Linked DNA regions of Schizosaccharomyces pombe. The protein of the gene in region 2 interacts with the protein of the main gene of each other region in a biochemical or structural test. Each region holds a gene or a part of one and is shown on either strand. Other genes may lie near its edges. The genes, in order: rho2 and rga2.

Region 1 (4,334 bases), 1.1 Mb from region 2:
TATCCTTTGTCTGTGATGTATTTGAGTATGAATTTATCTCTCTTTATTGGCGATTTCCTTTCTTACGATCAAGAATGAAAGGAATGTGTAATTTTTAGTGTAGTTCCGGATTTTTGCCGCGTATTTGTCATTCTTTATCATTTGGATGGATTTTGGTTGTTTTTTTTTGGTTGTTGTTCTTAATGAAGTGAACGCCCGAAGAAAAGTTAGTTGTTGGAGTATGGGTGTTTAAAGGGTATATAATTTCACATAGTTGTTTGATGAGAGTGACCACTTTAACTCTTGCCAGTCTTGATTTCCAACCCATTAATGCCCAGAAAAAAATAGGCTCGAAACTTTAGTAGGTGATAAATTTTGATATGGTTGTATACCTTTGGCGGTGTCTTAATATTTAGCTTAAATGAGCCAGAATTTTGAATTTGACCGCCCCATAAAATTACTTAGCGAAGTGAGCCTACGTATTAAATGTATCAATAAGGAAAACTGACATTTTCTATTAGCCTAAGAGAACAAAAGCATATGTACATATATGAATTTTGTACTTCATAATGAGCGCAAGCGGCAGTTCTAAAAATAAAGTCCTATGATCTTTTAAACAAAAAGTAGTTTTCATGAGGACAATAGATGCTGAAAAAGAATGAAAGATGTTTAAGAGTAAAAAAAAAAGGTAATAATAACTGAATGCGGTTTGCTTAATGAAATGAAAAAGGAGGCTAGTGTCGTTCGACCGATGCGTGAAGATTATAATGATGAAAATAATAATAATACTCCTGAGTCTCAAAATAAAATAGGAACTAAATTTGAGGTATAGGGGAGAAAAAGAAAAAAGTAAACGACAGAAGTGAAAGTGAAAACGAAATGAAACAACGGCAAAGAACAAATGCGAAGAAAAGCAAAAAAGTCTATCAGCTTTTTGTAAATGTAGGTCGCATAAACTGATAGGCTTTCCTATAAACTGAAACATGAATGTTTGCAATCGTTAGGATATTAGTAATTATGAAATGATGCAGCATTTTGTAGAACTCTTGTCATTTTCCGAATCCCGAACTGTTAGTGCTGCCCTAGTAGCAGCTTCAAATACATCGTCCACGCCGTCACCAGTCAATGAAGAACATTCCATATACTTTCTCGCACCAATCCGCTGAGCTACTAATTCAGCCTGATATCAAGAATTAGTATTCACGTGTTTGAATTATTAATATATACCTGTTGTGATTTTACAAAATTTTGATTTCGACGTCGCATTTCTTCAATAGCAACGGGATCTGACCTTAAGTCGGCTTTCATGCCCACTAAAATAAACGGAACATTTGGGCAAAGTGTATTAATTTCCTCAATCCACTATATAATGTTAATGACTGGAAAAAACAATTAATGAAACGAACCTTCGTAGAAACATTTTCAAGTGAATCAGGAGAGTCTATCGCAAACCCAACCAAAATAATGTGTGCTTTAGCGTAAGACATTGGTCTTAATCTCTGCATTGGGTTAACGACGTATTTCTCACTATTAATAACGAAACAAACCTCATATTCCTCTTGACCTCTAAAACAAGAATTAGTATGCAGGAATACATAACATATAGTTTTAACATCAGAAAAAAAAGTACTTACGCGGTATCCCACAATGCCAGTTGAACTGATTTTCCATCAACCTATTTTAGTTAGTATCAAATGTATTAGCAAAACCCAAAGAAAAGGGACCAGTGGGAAAGTAACTTTCTGTAACCAACTGAAAAAGCTCAATAACTTGTTAATCACACATACTCGACAATCTGAAACATAGTTTTCAAACACAGTCGGAACCTATAGTAACTGTTATTAAAAAACTCTACGAAATAAAGAGAAAAAAGCATTACATATTCCTATCGCCAGTAAGTTAGTAAATAAATAAATAAATAAGGTAGAAAAGACAATAAGTATTTGCGTATCGTGCAATATGCGATAAGCCAAAGCTCACTTTTATGACATCTGTACTTACAGTAGGAAAATATCCCAAAGTGAAAACGGATAACAAAGACGTCTTCCCGCAGGCACCATCGCCTACAACTACTAGTTTCCTTAAAAATATTAATATTTAAAGAAAATGAATTTGAGTAGAAGAAATAAAAGAAGCAAAAAGATATTAGGCCATAGAATCGTACCTTCTAATCGGTTGAGATTGCAACATGTACTTTTTAATAGGGAGCGGATTAAACACTGTATGAGGTTTTTTCTATGCAAATTTTTCTTAAAGAATGATTCACTGCAGATCAGACAACCAAAATTTCCCGGTTCGAAAAGCTGTAAAAATTAAACCAAATAGGTGTGAATTTTTGAAATATAAGAAATGAGTAAGCGATTGTCGAAATAGTCAAATGAAGCGATTAGCCAAACGTCCAAGCCTTTCAATTAGAGCAACGAAAAGTAGTATATGCACAAAAATTAGCTTCTCAAAGAGTATTTGTTCAAGAAATGTGGTTTTGGTGACATTTATCCCATGCGGATTATAGACACTTTTGGTGTTAAGTATCGTAAATTCAATTTATTGGAATCGTACGCTTCCTTATTGCACCTTAACATGCCTTAAAGAACTAATTTTGCACGTTAAGATGCATTAAATATGATAAAACGCCATTTGCCGTTTGGCTTTATTCACCACATTCTGCAAAGCAGCAATTGAACTAGTTAAATCCAAAAATCTTTGTGATTTGGATCATCTGGGTTGAAATCCCTAAGAAGATATACTATTTCAAGTACTTTGGGGTATACTGTTTTTGAATATTGAACTAAGAAAAGGTGGGCAGTTCGGCATTTAAGAATTTTAGGGATTACCCTTAAAACATTGCCAACGCAGACCCGTGAGCTACAATTTGAATAAAAAAAATAATTTAAATTATTTTTTTTTTAAATCGTTAGTTTCATATTTTAAGCTCATAAAAAAAGAGGCGTTGTTGGTAGGCGATTTTTAAAAAGAAAACATGAATGATAAAGCTCTTCGCACCGAAGCACTCAGTGTAGGGTTAGAACCTCCAAGTTTCAAGGATCTTCTTATACCTATTCCCAACTCTGGTACAAAGAAAAAGAATAAAAAGAAGAAAAAACCGAAAGCCAAGAAAAATGTCGAGACTCAAGCAAACGTGGATTTGCTTGGGTCGGCAGGGACCGATTCTGCAGTTACAGACGTTGGCGCGAATAATGGTGTCATAGATCATCAAGCGTCTTTGGAACTTTCAAATTTGAATTCTCGTATTTCTCATCCGCAGCTGGTCTCGGCAAATGGTGATGATTCATCGTTGATTAACGTCGAAGGAATATCTTCGACGGATTGGCAATTCACTCTTGAATCTGACGATACCATAGAACATTCTCCCCAATGTATTCTTTCTACCTCCAGTTTCGTGGATGAAGCCGAGTTTCCAGTTCATATACCTGGTTTGGAAGACGCGACGTCGTCCAATATGTCACCGAACTCCGTTCAAAATAATATGAATTTGAATACAGTAGCGTTAGGTTCGTCAACTTCATCTAAACGGAAAAAGAAAAAGAAGAAGAAGTCAAAAGCAAATAGTGCATCGTTGAATGTGGATGATCAAAGAGATTTTGAACAAGTTTATTCTACGGACGTTGCTATTACTTATAGGAATGGGCAAGCGCTTTCTTATTACAACGGTTCTGTGCGTCAAGCCAGTATGAATAATAACGTTAACAATAATAAATCCAAAGATATTTGGAGCAGTTCGAATACTGAGGAGCGGGAGCAAATTCGGGAATTTTGGCTTTCCTTAAGTGAAAGTGAACGCAGGTCGTTAGTTAAAGTCGAAAAAGAAGCTGTTTTGCAAAAAATGAAAGAGCAACAAAAATACTCATGCTCTTGTTCGGTGTGTGGAAGGAAACGTTTAGCAATTGAGGAAGAGTTGGAAGTACTGTATGATGCTTACTATGAAGAATTAGAACAATATGCTAATATTCAACGTAACCTTGCAAATACCGAGTCTGTAAACGCTTCAGACGAAGGTTCAGACAAGTCCCAGAAAGGAATCATCTCCGATTCACCTAAGCTTTTATCGATTCCTCTGAACAACGTACCATCAAAATCTCTCAATGATGATATAACCCAAGACGAGTTGAATTCTTCAAATGCTGATGTTGATGAAGAAGTCATTGAAACTACTAGCTTGGAGGAAAAAAACGTGGATAATCAAGAATTCGTCACTTCTATAAGCAACGGAAATCAGACATTGGAAGACACTTCACATTCCCCTCAAACACAGCCTCCTTTTCAGCCTCCTTATCCCTCTAAAGCAGATGAGAAAAATAGCTATCATTCTGATCTTTATAACTTCGGGAGTAGTT
Region 2 (6,475 bases):
GTTTTCGTCCTGTTTAGGATGGTTCCGTTTGATTCGTTTTCTTTCACCACAGAGCATCCACTATTCGTTCATTAATAGCACGATCAACATCTGATTTTTGTTTTAGTGCGTTTTTGGTTATTTAAAAAGCTTTATAGTCTGCTTTTACGAATCGGTTGACTTGAACCTCATCGGTACTATTCTCATTCGATAACATCATAGTAGGCGCTTTGCTTTTGTGTATTTGTATAAATTAGTTTTTCCAACTTTCATTTTCTAATCCGAGGTTTTATGAGAGTCTCAGCGAGAATGCTTATGCGACTATCGTGAACTCTGTTTACCAATGCTGTTATGGATTAGGTGATACAGGCATAAATTATCCATAAATGGTCTGCTGTCGTCAGTTTGGTATCATCTACAAAACAGTGTTATCTTTTTTGTTTGGTAGTTCGAATATCAAACAAAACTGTACGAAAGCATTCCTTTAAAAAAATGATATTCAGCTAAGAGTGAATATATACGTTTTACTTAGCTATGTCTATATGACCCTTACTAGATTAGTTTATGATATTTAATGTTAGCAATTTTACTTAAAATAACATATAATATTGCTCATTTATCACCGCTCAATAGCAAGAATAGAACGACAATTCATTATACTAATCAAAGAAGAATAAAAATAAAAGAAGATTATAAAGAAAAAACCCGAGCTTCCAACATAAATTGAATATACAATCATAAAAAACCTGCCCAAAATTAGTTATAAGAAGAACTAGAAAAGAATGAACAAACGAAGGGCTAAAATAGTTATAGAGTATTAAAACTTTTAAAAGAAAGAGTAAATTAACGACATCGTACTAAGACGACTGCCGTACATACGAATATTTGGAGAATCCCTGTGTCTCTAAGCATTAAAACAAGAAATAATTCAATAAAGGAATGAACAGGAAGACGAAAGACAAAGGGATAGTAAAACACGTACAACCATTGAAAGTTTAAGTAAACTAACCGTCTCAAGCGTTGACAATTTGTAGACGTTAAATTCCTAGAAAAATTCGTTATCCTCCCCATTGTCATCACTAACATCAGAGTCGCTTTCGTTTTGTGCTCCGTTCGTTTGTCGTGAAATATCTGTGAAGATATGATCATAGTTAAGGATAAGCATCATAAATATATCCGAAGGGATATTTAAAGTAGGAGAAAACACTATACAAACGTTCCTAATGTTCATTTTGTTAACTTTTTCAAAAGCAATAATCCTACGCAAATGATGTAACAGGGAATCCAAAAGGGCAAAATTTTCAGGAGGGAGTTTGCTAATAACATCGCAAAGTTCTCCAAGGGCCGCAGAATCGTTAGGAACATTAGGTAACAGTTCGAATAATTTATGCATAGAAGTGTCTAAGAGGTTGGTAGGTAAATTTCTCAAATACAACTTTAAAAGTCCAGCAATTACATGCACGTCGAATTCCTCGTCTGACGAAAGCAAGTCGTAATCTACTCCTTCATTAAATTGTTCCTTAAGATGTTTAATTGTCGAGGCAGAACCACTTAACCGATAAATACCTTCCTCTTTCTCGGCTCGGCATGATTCCAAGTATTCAATGCATCTGTAGACAACAATTGGCAAACCGCTGTCATTGAATTGAGTAGAAATATTCACCGCTTCATTAAGAGGAAGACCGAATATTCCAGACTTACGGACAATATGTTTCTGTAATGGCTCAGCACTTGTTGTCGAACTTGGTGAAAGCATTACATTTGTTTCGATCACAGGTATATTCGTATCAGATATTTGTTCGTAATTTTCGGCCTTATGATGCGGAAACGCCCAAAATTTCATTCTCGATCTCTTTTCTTCATTTTGCGAATTCTGAGAATGAGAATCGATCAATAACTCTACAGGAGTAGATTGGTCAGTCTTCTCCAGCGAAGGTCTAGAAGACTGGATTTCTATCACGGGGACGTGCTTTTCAGGAGCATCTTGGTTTCGTCTAGTGTCAGCAATCTCTAAAACACTTCCCGTACTACTGTCGAATGACAACTCAGAAACACGATCACTAATCTCAAACTCTCTATGATTTTCTAAAGGCACCTGCTCCATTGAATCCCTTAATTTAGGACTCATGGTTAAATTTGAAACCAAAGAATCATCGGCATAAGAAGCAACATTTTCTGACGGTGGTAAAACGGGAGATGGAGAGCTGGATATATCCTGACTTAAAATTGCTTCTTGACTTACAGGTCTTGAGTCTGCTTTTCCATAAAAACGGATAGGAGAAGATTGATCACGATAACGAGAAGATCCAGGAAAATCAGAAGATAATACAGAGAAGGGACTAGCATTGAGAGGAGAAGTAGAGCCAGGAACCTGTCGAAGTATGGCTCGCAGCCAACTCTTCTGATCTTCAACATCTCTTGCTAAAAGAACGTGAACAGTTGCAGTTCCCGTTCGCGTTTCCGTTTGTTTTTCCTGAATTACAAAAGCGGATTGATAATTTTCACCAGTTAAAAATTCATGAGGAGGATCAATGATAGAAAATATAGGTAAATTGGCATTATAGCGATTCACCTGCGCATCTTTTAAATGGATTGTACCAAGTACTGGAGAATTTCGATTTTCAGCGAAATATAAAATATTGTCCTTTAAATAAAAATAACGTGAAACTAAACCACTGTTTTCAATGTATTTCAAAAGTACCCCCTCCTTTTGAGCATGCTCAGGAGGAAGAAAGAATACATCATGAAGGTATTCTCGTAAAGTGTCACTTGACAAAAATTCTAGTAACTTGATCCTCTGTTCCAACTTAAGATCAGTTTGAAATATATAACGAAAATAGGTATCGACAGAACGGCGTAACAATTCGTTTTGAATTACTGAAGAGTCATTTGTAAACCAATCAAGAGTAGGGAAAGGAGGTGCGCCGATGTCTAAGACGAAAGAAGTAGCAAAGGAACGACATTCTCCGATGCTCCTTGTGAAACTCCATACTTCATCTTTCCATTGTGAAGCTAAATGTGAACTCGCAGAGACACCGACCACGAATTGCAACCCTATGCAATCAAAATCTGGAGATAAAGAAGCCAAACTGGTTTTCATAAGCTCGAAACGAAGATAACGGACTAATGATTCATCCAACCTAAAGCTCAACTTATTGTTGTACAAAGTATCCAAAGGTAACATAGAACCTTTGGAATTCGACGTGGATTTTTCAACTTGACTTGATGGATGATGGTTATGAGATTTCGACTTGCTAAATGGCGAAATCGGTGAGAAGCTGTTGAGTAACCCTTTAGAAGACAATTTTCCTGGAGATTTTTGGCTAGAATTATCAAGTTTCGATGTTGGTATTTCTGCTAGAATGTCATTATCAAAAGATTGTGAATGATGAGGATCGATGACCGTCCAAGTTCTGTTGGAATCCGACCGGCGACGTGTAAAACATATGTCACTATCAGGTATTTTCAAGGTAGAAAATGAGGACCTTCTTGTATCGGATGAGCCAGTCTTTTGAAGAGACAAAGAATCGTTATCTTCTGAAAGTCCACGAGGAGGTAGGCTAGGTTTGTCATCAGGCCTAGGTGTGGTAGAAGACGAAGAAATTGGCGGAGGTGGAGGACTCTCAGTAGGACGCGCAGGGGTTGAATATGCTGGAACATTTGAGGTTGGAGCCAAGAAATTATTTGCTTCCTTATTTTCAATAATGGGAGAATTCGTTTCACTTCGAGCTTGTAAAAGAACATTTTCGGAAACAACTCGAAAATCAGAATGGAATTTACCTGACTTCGAGCTTAAATTATTAGTAGAATGCTTTGGGGAAGATATACCATGCGGTTTTACAATAGATATACTTTTTCTCCTAGGCGATGATGCATTAGCTCTTCCAACTTTTATGTCCAAGAATTGTTGACGAAGTTCGTCCTCAATTTCAGCAAAATGGTCTTGTTTGTTTGAATTGTTATCTTTAGGATCAATAGAAATATTACTGTCCGAGTTAAATGGAGTTGGCTTTGTAATTGGCCTACGAAAAGAAGATGTATTTAATGACAAAGGTGATAAATTGTCAGAACGGATAGAATCAATTCGTTCAGCTGACTCAGTTGATACCGAATAAGTCTTGATTGCTTTATTTCGGAGGGCCTGTATCCGTTCCTTTTGGCTGTCTTTTAATATTGGAGATGTCACTGGTGAAGATGCACCTGGTTCTTCAGATGAACGGTGCGAGCGTTTCGTATTCAATAAAAGTTTTGGTCTGGTCATATCCGACAATCTGTCTAACGACCTGGCCTTGATATCGGTAGTTTTATTATAATTATTTAAAGCAGATAACGAAACAGAACTAGATTTTTCATGGTCTGAAGAGCTAATGTGAGCAGAAGCAGTAGGTACGTCTTTGGAACTTTTCAAAGAAATCTTGGGAAATAATTTCCCCTTCTCATATGGAGAGCTATAAGAGTCCGATTGAGGAGAATTAGCTCTGGACGGTTGACTAGAAGGAAATGAGTCTGTAGACTCATATTTACTCAGTCGCATGCGTAATGAAGTATTATCCTTTTTTACTTTTTCCAAGTCCTTATGCAGCTCGTATATAATTTCTCTTTGCTTATTCACTAGCTTCATTAATCTCTCATTTTGAGATACAATCCCAGAATTATCCTCTTCTTCTTCATCTTCCCAAATCTCTGAATTCAGCTCAATTTTTGAATACTTCTCCAATTCATTTCCTTCTTTCATTATTTTTTCAAATAGAAACGTAGTTTCTGCATGAAAATAAATGATTTCGGCAGAATATGCGAAAGTGGTGATACGGCAAGTTGTGGGCTCTGACCGCAAGAAAAAACCTGTCGTCCGCACAACATCCATCTTTACCATTTGACGAAGAGAACAAGCAGCTTCGTATTGAGAACCCTCAAATTTTTGATTGAGACTCCTTCAAGCTTTGCTGCCGGTTCTCATACCGAATTTATACTAATAGCCCTTTGACCCGGCAATGGACGGAAGTGACTGTATGTTTAATATTTTTACTTTCGTTACTAACGTTTAGCTTTATTGAAATCTGTTGATGTTTCCAAATTAGACAATGGCTCTACCATTTCATTCCGCGCCCGAGAAGATGGGTTTCTAGAGTCAATATCTAGCTCATCAGGAAAATTGGTGGACATGGTTTTGGTATGATATAAAAGCTAAGAGTATCTGAACATTGAGTAAAATATTAAAATAGACACATTTAATAGTGTCGATTCTTTTGTCAAAAAATAGTTATCACTCTTACATCTATTTATAAGTCCATTCTTTTGAACTGGATAACACAGACTAATGAATGACAATAACTACAAGACAAACAGATATAGTCTATGATTTTATCCAAAAGGAGCAACTGGAGCAAGCCCATTGTGCATTCGTGTTGCTCGAAGATGTTCTTATTTCCATATACGATTTTACTAACTTTGTAAAAATTAGGATTCTACATCAAAAGAGTGCCTCCCTAAGTTTAGTTTTCAAAACAAGCTAGACTTCTACTTTTTATTCAGTGATCGTGTTCTCCAGTTGCAGAAGGAGAGGAAAGTACTTGTACTCATCCATTGCGAATCGCTTCAATCGTTTGATTCTTTTTTTGCTCAGAAGTTGAAATATGCAGACTTAATTTCTTCGGATAATGTACATGAAATTTTTTTACCAGATTCAAATGCGGCCAATATCAGATATCATTGGGAGTGGTCACCTCCTTCGGGTAAACTTCTGGAGTATGAATGCAAAAACTATTCTTGCATAGCCGTTTACTCTACTGAAGACTGTACTCTTGAACGTATCTCAAAATTTAGCTACTACACCGTATCTCGTTGCGGTGATTCTATGGATGATACATTTTTTTCGGAAAGCCAGCGTGTCACGTCGCCGCTAACTACTAGCCAGACGGTACAAACCCAACCTCCTCAATCTCCGGAAGCGAAGACGGAGCTTTCATTGATTAATACCAAGACCGTTATATTCCCAGAGAATTATGAGGATGGACCGTCATTCCGATCTATGTTGCATGAGCTTGAGCAAAAATCATCTCTTATGAAGTATTATTGCAAAAAAATAATGAAACGTATTGTCCAATTAAGTGATGCATACGATGCATCGCAAGTTGCTGTTATGAAATTGTCAGAGACACTTTCGGAAGCTTCTAATAGCACCAGTATGAATATGGACATACTTCTGGACAGTTATTTAACCAAGGCTATGGACATTCATGCCACCTTTATACAAAAACTTAATTATGATTTAATTAATCTTTTATATGAGCCATTTCATAACATTTACTCAAGCTTCATTAAGCCAATTGATGATAGACGACTTGAATTTGATGAACAAAGCAAAAGCTTTTATGGATCTTTGTCGCGTTATCTATCAGCTAAAAAGGACAAAAAGGGAGGAGACTCTAAATTTTTTCAAAAAGAGAAAACGTTTGCCTTACAACGATATGATTACTATTGTTTTATGCAAGACCTT

The links.
Region 1: of the proteins of rga2 (region 2) and rho2, one has a biochemical effect on the other in vitro, tested with the Schizosaccharomyces pombe proteins (one study listed by BioGRID).

What each region holds. Positions count from the first base shown.
Region 1 is NC_003424.3:4,420,837-4,425,170, reverse strand, and holds rho2 (Rho family GTPase Rho2), read right to left. Parts: upstream 2,481-4,334; 5' UTR 2,170-2,480; coding exon 2,144-2,169; intron 2,060-2,143; coding exon 1,981-2,059; intron 1,865-1,980; coding exon 1,859-1,864; intron 1,806-1,858; coding exon 1,767-1,805; intron 1,655-1,766; coding exon 1,614-1,654; intron 1,546-1,613; coding exon 1,527-1,545; exon of another isoform or gene 1,479-1,526; coding exon 1,386-1,478; exon of another isoform or gene 1,342-1,385; coding exon 1,207-1,341; exon of another isoform or gene 1,160-1,206; coding exon 995-1,159; 3' UTR 525-994; downstream 1-524. Other genes in the region: protein nst1, read left to right, coding at 2,960-4,334. UniProt on the Schizosaccharomyces pombe protein: Involved in cell morphogenesis, the maintenance of growth direction, control of polarity and of cell wall integrity. Regulates the synthesis of alpha-D-glucan through activation of pck2.
Region 2 is NC_003424.3:3,347,545-3,354,019, forward strand, and holds rga2 (putative Rho-type GTPase-activating protein Rga2), read right to left. Parts: upstream 4,715-6,475; coding exon 1,025-4,714; 3' UTR 559-1,024; downstream 1-558. Other genes in the region: Sm snRNP core protein Smb1, read left to right, coding at 1-17; cnt6 (centaurin ADOP ribosylation factor GTPase-activating protein), read left to right, coding at 4,971-4,986, 5,025-5,149, 5,441-6,475. UniProt on the Schizosaccharomyces pombe protein: GTPase-activating protein for Rho-type proteins.